2 linked regions of the Diceros bicornis minor genome follow. The protein of the gene in region 2 interacts with the protein of the main gene of each other region in a pairwise test. Links are inferred from orthologs where the notes say so. Each region holds a gene or a part of one and is shown on either strand. Other genes may lie near its edges.

Region 1 (9,206 bases), on a different chromosome or scaffold from region 2:
AAGAAAAATGTACTAGAATATCAATGGAAAATGGGCAAAAGACTTGAACAAGCCATCCTCAAAGACAAAAAAAAAAAATGGCTTATAATCATATTAAAAAAGGAATCAGCATTATTAGTAACCAAAGAAATAAAAGTTTCAAAAACATCATTTTCAGCTATCAAGTTAGCAAAGATTTTTCAAAAGATGATATTATGTTGGTGAGAAGTAAATGTTCTAAGCCTCAAGCCTAAAGGAAAAAATGCCATTCAGATATGCAGAAAAAACCTAGGCATAAGGAGGTACAGCGGTTAAAACAGTAAAATATTGGAAATAACATAAAAATCCAAAAATAAAAGAATGGCTAAATAAATGAAGACATCCATAAGATGAATTCTTTTGCAGTCACTAAATTGTATTAAAAAATACCAATTTTAATTTCTTGGGAAACATCAACAAAGTAACGTTAAATTTTTAAAAAGCAAGTATGAAGTTCTACTACTTTAAATTGGTCCATTTAAAAATTCTTTAAAAAATGGTCCATTTATGCATAGGAAATGAACCGGCGGGAAACTGACCAGTATTTTCAATAGCGGTTCTTTAGGCATTGGGATAATTATGAGTACTCAGTATATGCTAGGCACGTGTTCAGCACTTTATATACAGTGAATTATATTCATGCTTGCAAACATCTTAGAAGGTGGGTCTTTATCCCTGTTGTATACCAGAGGAAACTGAGGCTCAGAGCAGGTAACTAACTTGACCATGGTGACAAAGCTATTAAATGAAGGAGCCAAGACACAAGTTAACATCAGCTGCCCCCAAAGCTCATGTTCATCATGTCCATGAGGGCCCACAGGTAATCTAAATGTTCTGTTTTATTCATTTTTTTCTGCATTCTAGGGGACCTAAAAATAAGCATATATTGCTTTTATAATCTGGAAACAAATCATAATATAAATGTTATAGTAAAAACATGCATATTCGCAAAGTGACAGTTCTAAAAATTGCTTCCTTCAAAGATGCAGGACCATGAATGTGATCTTTAGATCTTAGACGAGTGTATTGTAATGAGCATGAGCGCTCTTTTAAAAATGTAATCCCAAATCTCGGAAGACTTTTGTGAGTCCCGTCAATTCTGCAATATTTTTTCATTCAAGAAATACTTATTTAACATCCGCCTTTTGCCAGATATTGTGCTAGGTGTTTGCACAATAGCAGGAATAACAGTCTAAATGACTTTCTTTGGATATTGGGAAAGTCTTTAGGGGATAAGGGAAGACAGGACGAGATAGGGAAGGTGAGAGTATCCATCAATCTACATTGAGTCCTGGCTACCTACATCTAAGGATTATTTTATTTTTTTAAGCTTTCCATAAAAACTTACAATATTTTTGAGGATCCAGAACACCTTCCTGGAAATGTCATGCAATTTTAAGCCTCTACAATGCATTTATGCTTATACGCTAACTGTAGTAATCAGATGAAATAAAATGCTTTTTAACATCACACAGCGTTACTGTCATCCACTGAGTGTACAGTGGTCCTTGCATTTGCCCTTCTATGCAGTGCTGTATCTTCATTGTTAAGTAAGCAGAGCTGGATATTCAGAAAAAAGAATCTCAGCAGAAATGCAACTGGATGGATTCCTATCCCTCTTGGTTCCACATCTCATCGTTCATGCCCGTCTTTCATTTTTCAGAAAAGCCCATGTCTTTCAGCAAATGGACTTTTAATATGAAGGCCATTATCTCTAGAACACAGGTAAACGCTTTCTTACTTTTTAGTCTATGAGTCAACCAGAATTTTTATCAATTTAGATTTAGATTTGGCTGTTATAATAAGGTCAAATGGGTAAGAATGTGTATATTTCTCCTTTTCTACAAAGCCCCTGGCCCTCATAGTAGGAAATATTAAGAAATGTTTTATTATTATTATTATTATTATTATTATGCAAAAGTGTAAGAAGTCCATAGGAATGATAATGACTTAGACTTTCAACATGATGAGTTCAAATAAATTAGGACCCTGTAGGAAGATCCCTAAAAGCAAAGAGATAGCTATTTGAGAAGGAAAAGCTGGATTCCTTAGAATTGGACAGCAAAGTAACTCCTTGTTAATTCCCTTCTATGGGAATTAAACACCAAGGAGTAATTGAGGAACCAGAGAAAAAAGGGTAGAAATCGGCACAGACACCTTATGTTATTTGCTCTGTAAATTAGGTGGTTTTCTTAACCTCTCAGACTATAAATTCAGGACAAAGGATGAGTGCCCAGGGCTCTGAGATCAGATGTCACTGTCATGGAGATTCATCTTATTTAATGTGATACCATCCAATCCTTTTGTAATAATAAACACTTGTTTTCTCATCTCCAAAAACTGTTAATAAACTACTTTCTCATGGTTTCTCTAAATATAGTTTTTAAGATTTTTAAAATAGTGAATAAATCTACTCTTCCATGAGTGTGTTAATTACTGTTTTAGTTCATGCTAACAGAAGAAGCAGCTTAATAATAGTGACTTAACTGGAGGTGATCAAAATGCTCATTCATTTGAATTAATGAGTCCGAATCACCTTTTCATTAGATATTAGTGCTATAATGTATATTTCACTGATACCTGCTATTACTACAAAAGACTTTAGAAACAAATACAATTGACTTAAAGTGTCACAGTTTTCAAAATTATTTAATACACATAGTGTCTAGCAGCTATGAAACCAGGAGAAAAACATTATTTTCCATTACAAGGGTAAAAACTGTTTCTCCTTTCTCCAATTAAATGATTTTCAGAAGGGTTCATCACCCGGAAAAACAGTATGTATGAAATCCGGAAATGCAGATGATAGATATCCAGTCTTATAAATGCTTATTATAAACGGGAACCAAACTCTAAGATTTCTCTCTATTACTTGTGATAGCCATCCCATGATGGAAGTAATCTCGCTGTAAAACAACTGAAAAAAGAAAAAGAAACTATGGGAAGATTGCAAAGTTCTCTAGACAAACCTTCCAGTGACTCGCTTAAAGAAGGAAGCATTTATCAAAGGGTCAGAGAGGTTAGGAAAACTATGCCAGGAGCCAGGGTCAGTCTTGCCAGAGCGACTGAGATTGTCCCAGGTGAGCCGGTGTCCTGGGCTCTGGATGGAGGCGGAGGGCGCAGGGCGGGTCCCGCACGGCGCGCATCCTTTTGGCCAGGAGACCCCTGCTCTGTCCCCGGGAGCCCGGCGATTCCCGAGGCTGGCGCGGGCTGCCCGGGACGCACTGCCAGCAGCCTCCAGCTCGCGAGGAGCATCTCCCCATCCGCGGCTTCCGAGGCCAGCTCTGTCCCTCCGCCATCCTGAAGTCCTCCGACATTTTTCACCGAGACAGGAAGGTAGGGAGAAGAGGAAACGGCCGAGCGTCTGCACCCAGCCTCTGCCGCAGCACATGAGGAGGAGAGGAGGAGGGAGGCTATTAAACTGTGATTCTATCGATAATAAAAAGAATCATCACCCACAGCAGGGGAGTCTCGGATACACCCACCTGGGCAGCGGCTAGGGAATTGGTGGGCGTTCCTCCTCCTCGCCCCCTCGGTGGCTGTGAAATCTACCCCAAGCCAAGCACACAAGAACTCCCTTTCCTTCGACTAAGGAGAGGGCAAAGAACAAAAGAGACCCCCACCCCCTACACACACACACACACCTCAGACATTTCACCGATGCTCAAGGTATGCATTTCTGCAATCCCTTTGGCTTACACCTTCCCCACCTGAATAGTGCGTTTTCCCAAAGGTAAAGAAAGAAAAAATACCATGCCAAGGTGATCGGTCGACTGGACACTGTCAATTCACATTCGGTTTTCCAACAAACCCCCACAAAAATCCCGCAGGACCTCGCGCCCCCGCGGGGTCTCCGCCGCCCTGGGCCCTCTGCCGGTTCCCCGAAGGCGCCCAGCTCTCCGCGGGGGACCCGACCGAGGGCTCCCCGGGCGGGCAGGACACTCGCCCAGCCCGTCCGCCGCAGCTGGAGGGCGGCGAGCGGACCGCGCCGAGGCAGCAACGCCGGACGCAACTTCCCAAACCCGCGGCGCGGCCCCCGCTCGCACCCGCGGCGCGGCAGCAGCGCCGAGCCCCCCGCGCCCGCAGCCTCCCCCGCCAGGGCGCTGGCAGTTGCACTCTCCGCCCCCTCTTTCCTTCACTTCCCCCCCCCCCCAACCACCACCTTTAAAAAATTCATCCCTCGGTGCAAAGCAGACATTTTGATGTCATTTACTTAGCCCCGCTCGGGTTCGGAGCCAGCATCTTACCCAGCCGCCTGGAGGTGTGGGCAGCGCACCGATGGGTCCGGGGGCGCGAGGCTGGGCTGCTCGGTCCTCTAGCGGAGCCGGTTTGCTGCCATCCGCCCAACTTCAGCACCCAGCGGGCGAGGAGAGAGGGAGAGAGGCGAGGATGGAGGGGAGGGGAGAGGGGGCGGAGGGAGGGGTGGGCGGGGAGGGAGCTGGAGCCGCTCGGCAGCGCGCATGCGCCCCGCGGGCGGGCGCAGCCCCTCGCCCGGCGCGGCCGGAGGTGCCGCTTCTTCCCCGGGCGCGCGGCCGCGTGAGTCACCGCCCCGCCCGGCCCCCGCGCGCTGCCCGCGGCTCGGCGCCCGCGGTGCGGAGGGTCTCGGCCGGAGCTCCCGGCGCGGGTGCAGGGCTTCGCGGGAGCCTTGGAGACCTGGGAGCCTTCCTTGATTAGAGAGGCTCTCGCGCCCAGGCTCCAACTTCACGTTCACCCGCAGCCCTCGTCTGTTTCATCCTGTGCTTGAGGAGAGTTGCTTGACACCAGAAGCATGTCTTTAAGGAACAAAACAGCGCCGCAGCAGCGGGGTCCCAGTGGAAGCAGTCCCTGTGTGGGGGTTCAAGAAAGTGTGAAGTTAAGCAAGTTTTGCTTACCCAAGGACTCGACTTTGGGAAGAGTTCTTTAGTTTATTGACGTCCTCACCCGGGAATCTGACCCTTTGCCCTAAGAATTATTTCAGATGCTCTCTGGTCTGGGGCATATGTTCTGTCTCAGGAGTCTGGACCACTAGAACCAGAGTTTTGATTGAGAGAAGCCGATGACAAGGCAGGAGTCGTGAATTATTAACAGAGGTGTTGATGCTTGGGGCCTGGAGCATCCTTCAGGGACAGCTCAGTAGCTATCAGGTCTGATAATTGTTCTAGTCACAAGCGGAGCCCCGCTTGGTAGTGAAGGAGCTTTGGCTACTTAATGCAGCCTGAGCGCTAGATTGCATCTCCGATGATTAGATTGAAGTGTTTGTGAGGGTGAATTAGGGAAGCGGGTGTCTTTCTCTTCAGATGTGACATCTGTGGGAAGAGGAGTGAGTTCCTGGCAGGAATGATTAGGCTTTTTTCTTATACCTATTGCAAACTAATTACTTGTAAGTATATATGATTTCCCATTGTTTGTGTGCTCATGTATTCAAACAGTGCTGTTATTTCAGTCTCCTTTATGGAACGTGCTCTGGCCTCCCACCTCTCCACCTCTACTTGAGTTAAGTGTGTCTCAGAGTTTGCTCCAGGGCCTCCTTCTCGCTACATCATGGCTTTGAAGACTAGTGCTCTTCCAAATGTATTGCCTGGACTGGTGTTGGTCTGCAAATTGTTCCTTATCGGTCTGTAAGGAGAGAGAAGTACAGAAATTGAAAGTAAGATGTAGAAACTTTTATAGCACTTTGACATTGCCTTGACATCCAAGCACATTCATCAGCTGTACTTTCTGTTTTTTGATTTGTAAAGTAATTCATTTTTGTTGGATTTTACAAAAGTATTGGTCCACGACGCGTTGAAAATAAAAAATAGAAGTCCTTCACCAAAAATGATTTGAGGGGCACTGAATTCTATGTAACTCCCAGATTTATATCTTCAGTCCTCACCTCTCACAGAGCTCTTTTATGCCCTCAACTACCTTTACAACTCCATTTGAAGAATGATTATAATAGTTAATATTTATGGAGCAATTACGGTGTGCTGGGTACTGATCTACATGTTTTGCATATGTTTCTTATTTTCTCTACAAGGTAGATACTATTATTATGTTTAACTGACAACTCAGGAGCAGAACTCCAGATACCCGCCCCCTCCAAACCTGTTCCTCTTTAGACTGTTCCACCCGGTTACTCACGTCAAAAATTTAGAAGTCATCCTTGTTTTGTCTCTTCCTTTCACGCCAGCATCCAATTAATTAGCTAGCCATGTTGTCTCCACCTCCAAAATATAGCCCCAATTCCTCCACTTCTCTCCCTCTCCATTGCTATAACGATGGTTCAAACCTCTATCGTCTCTCACCTGAGCTACTACAAAAGCCGCCAGTGGGGTCTCCTCCACAACCCCAAACAACACATTCTCCAAACAACAGCTGAGTGATCTTTTAAAAACGTAACCAGATCATGTCATGCTTCCGCTTAAAACTTTCCAGTGAGTTTTCATTGCACTTTAAATACAACCCCTGATCCTTACCACAGCCTAGAAGGTTCTGTATAATCTTGTCCCAGCCCAGTTCTCTTACGCCATGTTCCCATAGACCATACCTATGTGTGCTATAGCCACATCGGCCTATTTCTGTTACTCTCTTGAGTAAGTCTAGCTTACAGTACTTGCTGTTCTTTCTGTTTGGAATCCTCTGCTCCTAGATCTTTACATAGTAGGCTCCTTCATATCCTACAGGTCTCTGCTCAAGTATCACCTCCTCAGGCTTTATCTAACCACCTGATCTAATTGGCCCCAGGGTTCTTCTCTGTTAGATCTCCTTGCTTTGATTTCTTCCAGATACTTTTCACTATCTGAATCAGCTTGCATTTGTTTACTTGTTTATTATCTCCTCATCCTCCTCTAGAATAAAGGATCTCAAGAGCTTTGCCTGCACTTTTATCTCTGGTGCCCAGAACAAGATTTGGCACGTATTGTTTACTCACTAAGTATTTAGTGAATGAATGCATGATTGAATGAATAAATAACACACTTAAAAAAAGTATTTTATTATTTTTTCTGATGCTTCTTCTTCTTGGATCCTCATTGCTGCCTGTCACAATTTGTTTGTTTCCCAGCAGTACACAGAGAGACAACATTGTTTCCTCTGTCCACCCTGTCAGAGATGGCTCCATGTAATGGCACACATTTAAACTAGACGCCAGAGTCGTGTTCCTAGAACCAACTTGAAAACAAGCATACTCAATAAAAAAATGATCCTTACTTCCATGAGCTTCCCTAAATTGTAATAATGGCTACTTGGGCAATTTTTTGCACCTAGGACAACTTGGCTATTCTGCCAATAATTTACTTGCTAAAGTCAAATGTAACCTCTTGGTGACTTTCTTTCATGCCTATGGTTTGTTGTGTAATCCTTTATGTGTTAGCCAGAATCTTCAGTGATAGTGTTCTAGGAACTGGACGTGTCGCCTATGATCTTAATGTTGAACAAATGGCATTAATGACCTTCACCTCATAGAGTTTGGTCACTTGCAATCTGTGTGTATATCTGGGTCTTAGGAAATATCTGCAACACCAGTGACATCAGATGATGACTAGGTCAATAATTCAATTCAATAAACTTTATTGATCAATAAAATTTATTGATGTCTACTATATGCGGGGAATTATGTCTTCAAGTTTTTTTGCAAAAATTGTAAATGTTATATAAAATTATTATATATGACTCAGAAATGGATTTCAGTTCATTTCAGCCATGGGAATGTCTTCTCTTTACACAGAATTTTGGAGCTCATTGAGCTTATCATCATTAAACAGCTGTGTGGTAACTACAGAAAGCAGCATTTGATCCTGATCATTTCCATACTGTTATGGATGTGTTTTTCAAGTGCAGAGAATCTGGATACAGCAGCAGGATTTTTGGCATAATGACTTCATAGTAAGGCAGACAGGAGATTTGCAGGCAAGATATTTGCAGACAGAAGGTATTGGAAAAGGACAGAGCATAAAAATATTTACAGTACATTTACTCATAATTAGGGGTATTTGTCATCGTTAGGAGACCTGGATTCTACCTCAGTGAGTTTGATACCCTTGGAAGGTTTTTTCAGGAAGAAATTATGTAGCATCTTTACATTTCATTCTCTTTTCCCACATGCTCATTTATTTAAAAGCAACTGTTTTACCTTCGAAAAGCAGAGAGAAAAGGAAGAAATTTGCTTGAATCTAAAAAACCCTGACTGCTCCATCCAGGCATACTTCTCCAGAGTGGAGCACGGAAAGATAGTTAGAATATGACTGCTTAAAATCACTTTTTCTTTACTTTTAGTAAACGGGCTTATCCTGTTTCTTGAACTGGTTTTAATCAAGCCTTAGAGACATGCTCTTCTCAGGGAACTTATTTAGATAGAAAATACTTGTGTTTCTTCATCAATATTTGAAGGAGATGAGAAAAAGAAAACACAAGATAGTCTTTCTCCCAAATATATAAAATGAGGTATAATTAGAGTTTTACATTTTATATGCACTTTAGTTTTTATAAATTATTAGTTATTAATGTTTCCTTAATATTTAACTTATCAGCCTTGAACTCAAAAGACACAATATTATTCTTTCAGAATAGCATTAGTGCATTTATATCTCAATGTAATTGGATGATTCCATGGAAGTAGAAATAAATACCTTTGTATGATTTTTATCATTTATGCCCAATTTTGTATAACTAAGTTCCCACAATGGCTTAACAAGATAGAGTTGGTTTTGAGTCACCCTAAATACTTTATAAAAGTACTCATTAGATGAATCCTGGATATTCACATTCTTTTTGGTTTAACAGATCTACCGTATAATGTTGGACAACATTATATGATAGCAAATATGGAAAAATAGCAAAATGTTCATCTCACCTGGAGAACATGATGACATTCAGTTATTACAGTCAGATTCTTTGTGGATGGAGAAAAAATTCCAGAACTTAATGGTCCATATTATATTATCTTGAGATTTTTGAAGGTTTCTAGATGATAGTAGCTGGATTGTAGAATAGGCTTCTGCTTTGTCAGACCTACCTCCAGGGTCTGAAGGAAGGAAGGGTAGAGAGAGGCAGTGGTTTGATTTCACAGTAGTATCTCACATCTCTGCTATGTTTTGTTTCATGGCAGAGCAAGTTCAGAGACATGTGAGGTTAATACAGATCTTTGTGTATCTGTGTGTGGAGAAGGATAGTTTGCTAAAGATGTCTAGTATCTAGAAGGGTCCAGGTGATTAATTTTTGAGTTCTAT
Region 2 (9,994 bases):
CGTTGTCTGGAAGTGAGGGATGCCTCCCCACCTGCAGGGCAGGGCTGGGGAAAAGGTGACTTCACTCCCTCTTGGAGGACCTCCTCCAGGCCAAGCGGAGTTGGCGGTGGGCATGGGGGCAGCCCCGTGTCCTCACAGTGCCGTCATTCAGGCCCGGGAGCCCAGCCTGACCCTGGAATCTCTGCTCCCATTCCTGGACGTGGTGTGATAAGCTCTCATAGATGCTAGCCAGGCCAGACAACTTTTCCGTCCTTTCTCTCTAGCTCCTTCTCTGTGGCATCAAGTGGGGCTATTGCTGTCGAGTTGGAAAAACATCAAAATAGAAAATCCTGCCTTCCAGAAATGGGTTTGCAATTGCGTCTGTTCCCCCCACCCCCACCCCAAGCAACAATAAGCCTAGATATTGCTCAGGGCGGGCAGCGGTGAGGGTGAGGGCAGCGAGAAGAGAACAGGAGGCAGCCGTTCAGAAAATTACTAAATTGTTCCGCCTCTGATGAATCACTGGTCGCCCGCTAAATCCGGTTTTGATTTAAGGGAGATTGTGTGAGGCCTAAATTATCTGTTAGACAGAGAGGAATTCACTTGCTTTGAGAGGTGGGAACCGGATGGTCAGAGGGCAGATTCTCCCCCAGCATCCCCCGCCACGCCCAGCCTGGTGCTCAGCTCCGCTGGGGGAGCGGAGGACAGGGAAGGAGAAGACCTGGGCCCTGCCCTCGGGCCCAGCCTCACCCCACGGGGCCGTGAGGGGACAGTCCGGGGTCGGGGGTCGGGCACAACCTTCACTGTGGGTGCTGCTGTGGAGGCGGGGGTCAGGGGCAGCTGTGCCTCTAGGAAGGAGGAGGTAGGATGTGAGGAGGAAGAGTGTGCATGCAGACACCCAGGGGCAGAGAGCCTGTGGCACGGGAACCGGACCCTTGCCTGGGGTTGGGAAGGGCTGGTGGCAAGTGCCATACCAGGTGGCAAGTGGAGAGCCTTGAGGACCAGGCCAAGGAGTTTGAGGGGACATCCTGTCTCCTTTTTGGTCTTTGTGCCCTGGGCCTGGGTCCCTCCTCTGCTCCACCTCAGAGGGGATTGGCCATGCCTCCCAGGAAGGATGACTTCATGCTAGAGCCAAATGCCCTGTGTGGGGCTGGGGGAGATAGGCTGTGTCTGAGCAGCCAAGGGCCAGGGGCAGCAGGTCCTAGATCAAGGTCGCAGGCATTCTCCGGGCAGGGCGTTCTCTGATTTTCACCACCCCGCTCCAGGACTCTCTTCCTATCCTCCATGAGTGCCCTCTGCCTCCATTCTGGAAAGCCTGAGCCATTCTGGAAAATTCATCCAGGCTGCTGGTGAGCCGATGGTGCCTGGATGGTCGCGGCCAGCCTGTTATTTGAGTCCCTTCCCACCCCAAGCTCCACCCTCTGGGTGGGCCTCCTGGAGGGAATGAAATCATTGTTTCCCACAACCCAGCCTGCGGGTGAGAAATCCCTGCCTGGCCCAGAAGGCAGGGTCCATGCCCCTCAGCTCCTCTGCTCTGTGCTCCACAGAAGCTTCTGGCTAAGAGAGTGACAGCCGTGGCCACACTCATGGGCGTCTTCTCCCCACGCAGCCCGAGGTCCGGACGCTTGGCCGACACCTGAGCCTCTGTGCACCCACCTCTGGAAAAGCCTGAGACTCTCCCCCTGGATTCCAATGGGGACGGAGCCCAGACTGTCCTGGGAACAGCCAGCTCTGACTGGAATTCGGGTCTCACTGGGCACATCAGGAATAAGGCACATCTGGAAAAGCGTTTGCTGAGGCTGTTGCTCCAGCAGGGCCAGACAGTGACCAGGCCTGAGTGGCCTCAAGCTCCGCCCAGGCTCAGGAGCTGGGTGGGGGGCAGTCCTCCTTATTTAGCCTGGCTCAGCCCTGTGGGCTCTGGAGGCTGGGCCCATGCCACTGTCCGTGGGAGGGACACGGAGCACGCGGAGTCAGGCCACGCTGGAGGAGGAGCTGGGGTGGAGGCAGCATCCTGCCTCAGAGCCCAAACTCCCAGACTAGGGGGGCTGCAGGGGTGACTCTCGCCTCTCCCGGCTGCTCTATGTGCCCAGTCTTAGCCTGATGCTTCCTTCCCCAACCCTCCACCCCTCGCCCATCCTAGCGCCTCTGGGGCCCGGACCTCTCAGCCTTTGTACTTGTTCCTGAGCAAGCAGAACTGGGGTTTCCCTATGGTAACTGGGCCGGTCAGGGGCCCTTCCTGACAGGCAGGCAGAGAACCAGACTTGGGCTCTGGGAATTAGGTTCTAATCCCAGCTCTGCTTTTCCTTGGCAAATCTCTTACCATCCGAGCCTCCCAGGGTTGTGGGGAAGATGGGCCCTCGGCTAGATGCTGTTTCCTTCCTTCCTCCACTGGTCGGTCTGGATGTGTGGCAGACCAGAGAGAAGGAGATGGAAGGGTTTGGGGCCTTCCTGGGTCTGGGGCTCCAGTGGAGATCTTCTCCCTTCCCATGGAAATGGTCAGGTTATGGCCACAGAGGCCCCTTTGCATTATGGGAGGTGGTGGGTGACTGAGGTGGGCATTATTCTGGAGATGCTTGTGTTCTGATGGCGCCTCCTGGTGACAGCAATGCCGTCATCCAAAGGAATGGAGTTATAATGGTGGCATATGAGGCAGAGGCCATGCTGGTGTGAAGGACGGGGTGGGAGATGCAGGGGGTGGCAGGGGTATTGCCCTGAGGATCCTCCTATCACCCGAAGATTGGCGGGTGCCTAATTTGCCTGGGCAAAAGTGCTTTGCTTACTCTGTGACGCCTGGGTCCCCATCTCCTGCCCTGCTCCAAAGGACACAGGCCTCTCCAAGTACATACACACACACGCACACACACACACACGTGCCCTCTGCAGTCATATACTCTGTCTTCCAGAGTGCCCACACAGGGCCTGCAGGCTCACGTGCTAGAACACAGGCTTCAGGAGGACAATGAGAGGGCCGTCTGGTTCATAGCTGTCTCCCCATTGCCCGGAACGGTGTTTGGCATGTGCCAAGTAAACATTTGTTGGATAAATTTGTACGTCCCAGGGGAATCTCCCCCTCATGCCTGGTAGCACATTCTGTGTTCTCAGCTGCACGGATCCTGACCTGGCCCCGGACACTGTCACGGAACCTGGAGCACACACAGGCCCATACAGGCCCCTCTTCTGTGGTATTGAACCCCCACACCAACCTGCACCCAGTGGCCCCTGCGGGCCTGGTGCCGGCTCTCCCATGCCGCCCTCCTCAAGCCCTCGTGGCTGGGTCCCAGTACCTGCCAGAGTCAGAACTTGACCCTGCACCAAGCAGAGGGCAGGGACAGGTGTGGGCTCTGTTAGGACCTAGAATCTGAGGGGGAAGAAGGAGGATGGCGTGGATGTCTCTCAGTGGACATGGAGCCTGTGGCCTGAAGGGAAACGGTCCTGTCTGGACTGAGGGGAAAAAGGGCTGTCCTCTGAAGCCTGGGCGTGAGGGAACCCCAGCCCTGTGGAAGGAGCTCTGGTCGGAGGTCCCAGAACTGACAGAGAACCCCTCACTGTGGGGCACTGTTGCCACAAGTCCACAGGGCCAGGGGCCAGGGGCCAGGGGCCAGGGCACGAGGAAGCCTCCCGGGGCGTGGAGAGCTGAGCCAGGCCCGCCCAGAGTGGAGGATGTGGAAGAGGTTCCTGGAAGTGGCCCAGTGGGGCTGGCTCCCTCTCTGGATGGTTAATAAGGCACCAATTACCTCTGGCCACCGGGGTTCTCTGAGCAGGCAGGGCCCACCAGCCACCACGCAGACTCCCTGCTCATGTCCACTCCATCCTATACTTACAGATATTTAGGTGGACACAGCTACCCTCCATACTCCGTCCCAAGCGAGCCTCCTGCTCTCAGCAAGCACCAGGCTGATGCCTGGGCGGGTTCATGGCCGGCGCCAGGGTGGCCCTGGTGTGCACTGCAGCTGGCCAGTAGGGTGGCCAGTGGGGGCTGGTGTCATCTTCTGCAGATGGCCCTTGGACAGGAGGCACAAGATCCACGTGCTCATCCTTGCCCTACCCCTGGCATATGCAGAACTCACAGAAGTCCTTCCTCTCACTGGGCTTCAGTTTTTCACCTATAAAATGGGGAGAAGCCAGCACTCACATGTAGGACTGTGGTGGGGCAGGCAGGAGGTGGGAGGAGAGGGCCTCGGAGGCCACTCCCTCCAGGGCCCCGCCTGTCCAGGGCCCTGCCCGCTCCCCTTCACACACTACCCAGCAGCAGGCCGGTGGACTGGGCCTGGGGCTCCTGACGGGACTCCTGGCTCAGGAGTCCAGTTTCTTGCTCAGTTTGTTGGCCACCGCTGGACCTCTGGCTTGGGGAGGCACAGGCACAGGCTGGACTGCAGGGGTCTGCAGAGCAGCCTCTTCCCCTTCCCCCTGCAGGGGTGGGGGGTGGGGGCTGGGAGCTTGTCTGGTCCCTCCCCCTCACCTGCCTGCCCCTCCCTCATCTTTCCCTTTTCCCTGCCTGCCTCTGGGTCCAGTCGTGTCTCCCCTCTTTCCAGTTTGTCTCCTCTCCCTCTGTGCTCCTTCTGTCTCTCTCTCAGCCCTGGCCTGTCTCACTGCCTCTGCCTGGGGATCATCTCTTTCACTTCCATTTTTGTGATGGTTCCGCGTCCCTATAACTCTGCCCTTCATTCTCTGTCTGTCTGTCTGTCTCCTCTCCTCTTCACTGCTCTGTTGGGGCCTCTCCCTTTCTCCCTTGCTCCTTTCTTCTCTCCTGGGCCTTCCAGTCTCCAGGTCAGGCTGCCGTTCCTTCAGTCTCCCCAGAGGTCTGCCGGCTGGACAGCCTTTGAGAGGAAAGTCCTAAACTGCCCTCACCTTCCCCACCTGCCCCCAAAACACTAGTTCAAACTTCTTCCTAGAAACTTGAGGGCTCCCGCAGTGGGGGCTTCCCACACCCTTTCCTATCTCAGGCCTGCCATTGAGAGGGTGGGCCACAGACAAGCTCTCTGCACATTCTGATGCCTCCGTGCCCCCATCAACTGAGGCCTGGCTGGTGGGGCTGGAGGCGTGGGGACATCCCTAAAGTGACATCCAGTGGCCAGGCCTGACCCGGAGTGTGGGAGGCCCAGCCTGCCCCTTTGGACCCCTGGGCCCATGGACTGCAGTCTAAGGCCACTCTGAGGTAGGATGGGGATGCCAGGGCAGCAGGGTCACGGTGCCCGCCTCCAGGGAGGGCAACGTCCACCCGCTGAGTCCAACCCGCCCACCTTGCCACATTTGGAGTGCCTGGCTCTGCCCTTGGGCACCCCCTGAGCTTTGCACACCTGGATTCCTCTGGCCCCCTGAGTGGGGCCAACTTGCAAGAATTTCCCAAAGCCTATTACAGCAGTGGCTGCCTCCTGCCTGCCTCCTCGGGCAGGGCAGGGCTGAGGGCGGAGGGAGAGAGGGAGGGAGGGGGGAGAGGAGGAAAGGAAAAAAAGTTGGCAGGCCGACAGCAGAGCTGTGTCTGCATCCATCGCTGAGAGGAGGCCTGTGCGGTGCGGGGCGGGCCAGGAGCAAGGAGAGGCCTTCCTCCCTTTGTGCCCCCCCCTTCCCCCGGGGCCCTATAAATAGGCCCAGCCTGGGCTGTGGCTCAGCTCTCGGAGGGAGTCGGGCACCAGGCAGCAGTCTCCAGCCAAGACCCCTGCCAGCATGGCCAGCGAGTTCAAGACGAAGCTCTTTTGGAGGGCGGTGGTGGCCGAGTTCCTGGCCATGACCCTCTTCATCTTCATCAGCATTGGTTCCGCCCTGGGCTTCCAATACCCGGTGAAGAACAACCAGACATCAGGTGCAGCCCAGGACAACGTGAAGGTGTCGCTGGCCTTCGGGCTGAGCATCGCCACGCTGGCCCAGAGCGTGGGCCACATCAGCGGCGCCCACCTCAACCCGGCCGTCACGCTGGGGCTGCTGCTCAGCTGCCAGATCAGCATCCTCCGGGCCCTCATGTACATCATCGCCCAGTGTGTGGGCGCCATCGTCGCCACTGCCATTCTCTCGGGTGTCACCTCCTCCCTGCCCGACAACTCGCTTGGCCGCAATGAGGTGAGTGGGCTGGCCTCAGGCTCAGGGGCGTCTAGAATGGTGCTGAGACAGCACTGGTCTCATCCTCTGCCCATTGTGCAGATGGGGACACCGAGGAACAGAGAGAACAGAAGTTGCTGGAGGTCTTGCAGAGTTGGGGCTGGAACTCAGCTCCGCCTGCAGCCCAGCGCCTGTTTTTTGCCAGGACTGAGACCCAGAGAGGAACAGTCTTGCCGGTATCCCCTGTGGGCATCTATTGTGGGAAATAAGCTCTGGAGGCCGCTGAAGTTTGGGCCAGCAGTTCATCACCCCTCGACTGTAGTTTCTTGGCTCCCTGCAGCCCTGCCTGTGCAGGCAGCTCCCTCTGCCTGCAGCCCGGCCACTGGGGAAACTCTGCCCTCAGTCCCCACTCCCCCTGAACCAGATGCCTGGCATGTCTGCAGCCAGGTCTGCAAGTGCGTGAGCAGGACTCCTGTGGGGGGACGCACAGGCCTCCAGGCAGCCTCCACATTCACACAGGTCCCCAGATAAACTGCTTTCAAGGAAAAAGCCCCTCTCGCTCCTCTGTCCCCCAGGAATCAGACAAAGATGGAGGCGGTGGGGGAAACACTTGCTGGCTGTTTGCAGGTGGTTTTCCTGGATTACAGTACGGGGTGGGGCCAGCGCCAGGACATCCCGCCTCCTGTCTGGGCTCTACTCTCTGTGCCCGGCACTGAGAGGTGTGGTGCGCGTGTGTGTGTGTGAACGAGTGTATGCACGTGGATGCCGGTGTGGTTTTCCAAGCTTGTGTAAGCTGTGTGCTCCCCTGTGTGTCTGTTTCTGGAAGTGTGTCTGTGAGCATGTTAGTGCTGGTGTGTGAGTGAGTGTGGGGGTGAGCGTGTACCTGCGTGTGCTCACTGCTCCTGGCTAGAATGGGGCTGGGGGCACTCATGATAAGCAGATGTTGGCAACTGGGTGGCAGCTGCTGAAAAGAATTCCTCCCGGGCTGCTTAGCACAGCTAATTGGCTGTTGGCGGTGGTTGCCTGCTGTCACTTTCCAGCCCCTCAGCCAAGTGCAAACTTAGACCAGGCTTGGGCCACAGCAGGGGGAAATTTGGCCCAAGAGGCTGAGTAAGGTTTGAAGGATGTATCTGAGCGTGGGCCCTGAGGGGAGGGAGAGAGGCAAAGGAGCAGAGAGGAGGAATCAGACCTAGAGAAAGGAGGCTGGCAGGGCCCCCTGTAGGGCAGGTGGGTGTGGCGACAGAAAGGGAGCTGGCTAAGGGCTCGGTGGGTGATTATAGCAACTGTCCTCTTGCTTCCCACCCAAAGTTCAGATCCTGGGGCTGCAGCTGGGGAGGCTCGGTAAAGTCTGGTGCAGAGGGCAGCTGGCACGGCCCTGCCACAGGGGGATTAGCACTTCTTGTGTCACAGTGACCTCTCACCCAGCCCCTTCATGGAGCCAACCGATGCCCGGCCCCAGATTGAAGATTAGCCTGTAGGCTGGAGTTTAGACTTTAGTTCAGGAAGATGTGGCCAGGGTGGGTGTAAGGGATGGTGCTCTGGCAGGCCACATCCCTCCAGGCCTCAGTGTCCAGTGGGGGCAGAGCCAGGTGACCCCAGGGAGTGCCCGCAGAGTAGGGTCAGGTTCACATTTGGGCTCTGCTGGGCATAATGGGGATGGGGAAGGTGTCCTCACAGGGGAGGGATGGAGTCTCCCCCGGCCTTCTGGCCGCCTGTTGACCCTCCCTCTCAAGGGACAGGCAGGCAGGGCATCTGCTGCAGACTTAGCAGTCTCTAACATGGGCATCCAGGCAGACGCAGGAGGGCAGGCACTTCTGGGCCATTTTGATCTGGCCATGCCTGCTCCAGTGTCTCTTCCCCTCTCTGGCCTCCATTTTCCAGAGTCACCCCAATACCTGGGCTGAGTGGGGTTGCAGATGGGGGAGAAAAAGGGGCAGCCTAGTGCGGGGCCAGCCCTGGGCCAGGAGGCAGGCACACTGGGTTCAGGTCCCATCTACTACTTACTTGTTGAGTTTCCTGGAGCTGAGGACCTTGAGGCTCCAAGAGGAGACCTAGTGTCCTAGTGTCCTGGTACGGGCCACGCCCGTACCACCGGCAAGCTCTTTGGGGATGTGTGTTTATTACCCTTCCTGGGAGGGTTTGGCTAAGAGGAGCCAAGAGGGGCCATGCTGAGCATGAGGGCACTGAGTGCTGTGGCGGGGGCCCAGGCACTGCCCTGACCACACGATGGAAGTTTGGGGTCCAGAAGCAAAAGTCCTGGGCCTAGAGACAGAGAAAGTGACCCCCAAGGGCTCCTGTCAGACACTGGACCTGGGATCCGAAGGGACTGGGGGGTGGCCTCAGGGCTTCAAGAGGGGCAGAGTCCAGTCTACCCAGCAGGTGACACACTGTTTCCTCCAGGCCCTGTGGAGGGTCCTGCAGCCCCTTGGGCCCTGGACCCCACCTTGACCCAAACTTGGGTGGAGCTAGTCGTTGGCATGGAGATTTGCAGGGAAAATAGGGAAAGAAGTGGCAGGAAGTGGTTGGGGTGAGTCAGGGGGTGTCCCCCAGGGACATGATGGGGACAACTTTCTGCTCACTGAGTCAGGGCTCAGGATACGCCCTGGAGAGACCACGGGCCTCCATCCAGCCTGCAGGATTCCTGGCTAGTTCTAAGAGCTAAACCCCAATTTCAGCCGAGGGTGAGAGGCAGGGGTTGGTGCCCCAGCCTGCCCTGCCCTAGCTCAGCCACAATACCCTGTGTGACTTGATGCGTGAGCTCCCGGTGTGGCCCTAGTTCCCATCTGTGAAATAGGGACATAGCAGGTTGCACTTGGGCTCTGCGAAATGGAAGATGCTCACTCATGAACCTGGGAGTCCTGCCCATTTACCTGCTCTTTTTACTCTTCCCTTCTGTGGCTTGCTAGCCATGCTCCCTGCAAACACGACCTGGGGCTGCTGTGGGCTGAATGAGGGGCTGAATCACCTGGCTCCCTGCCCTGGGGAAGCCCACAATCCCTGGCGAGATAAGCCCCATGCACAGCTGCCCAGACGAGATAAGCCCCATGCATAGCTGCCCTGTGATATACTGCAGAAGCCATGTGTGATAACAGGTGTCAGGGAGGCCAGGGAGCTTCTGACCTTAAGGGGTGGGGAGGACCAGGAAGGCTTCAGGGCGGAGGTGCCACATGAGCCTGAATGTGGAGACCCTGCTAGGGAAGGGGCTTTCAGTAGAGGAAGTGCATGAACACAGGCAAGGGGGCAGTGGGAGCTCAAGGCCTGGGAGTCATGGGTTGCAGCTGGATTGGGGGTCATGGTGGGAGGCTGGGGCTCCAGAGGGTGGTGAAGCTCGGGACTCAGGCCAGTGTCTGACTGCATCCTAGAGGGAACTGGATTCTTAGCCATCCTGGAGCCTGTGATTTCAGCCCCTTAGCGGGCTCAAGCAGAGGGCAAGCCTCCCCTCTTTGGGGGTCTTCTCTTAGCCCTGCTTATTCTGGGCCTGACTGCCTGGGGATGCTTCTACCTGCTGCATCAGGGCCCAGACCTCAGCCCTAAACATCCCTCAGTTCCAGGCCTCGGTTCCCCCAACCATAGAGTGAGAAGCCCCCCGACTCCATGCCGTCACTTCTCCTGGGGTTGAGGGCCCCTCCTACCTTCTCGAGAGCTGGGGGTAGGCTGGAGAAAGGGAAGCCAGAGTTTTCCGACGGCCATGCCCAGGCCGGCCTGCCCAGGGAGGGGGCTGGCGGCTGGGTGATGGTGCCAGCTGGGACGTATAATTACTGTTTCCAGCCAGAACCAGATGAGGGGGAGGGCACCAAGGGAGGCAAGACCTTTGCGGTGGAGACTTCCCTCACCACGGAAAATTCTGAGCTGTTTCCCCTATTAGAGCCCTCAGGGAAGTCCCACTGGCCCCATGTTGCCCCCTCGATACTAGGCCCTCACCTATCTGAACGGGCGACACTCTGAAGGGGGTGCCTCAGTTTAAGGGACTTGCCTCGCTCCT

The links.
Region 1: the proteins of AQP1 (region 2) and RGS17 interact in binary tests that used the Homo sapiens proteins (3 or more experiments, as listed by UniProt). The two-hybrid records come from large-scale screens. The link is inferred for Diceros bicornis minor from reciprocal best matches to the Homo sapiens genes AQP1 and RGS17.

What each region holds. Positions count from the first base shown.
Region 1 is NC_080778.1:15,790,622-15,799,827, reverse strand, and holds the start of RGS17 (regulator of G-protein signaling 17), read right to left. Parts: upstream 4,367-9,206; 5' UTR 4,266-4,366; intron 1-4,265. UniProt on the Homo sapiens protein: Regulates G protein-coupled receptor signaling cascades, including signaling via muscarinic acetylcholine receptor CHRM2 and dopamine receptor DRD2.
Region 2 is NC_080742.1:55,186,130-55,196,123, forward strand, and holds the start of AQP1 (aquaporin-1), read left to right. Parts: upstream 1-5,602; 5' UTR 5,603-5,643; coding exon 5,644-6,033; intron 6,034-9,994. UniProt on the Homo sapiens protein: Forms a water channel that facilitates the transport of water across cell membranes, playing a crucial role in water homeostasis in various tissues.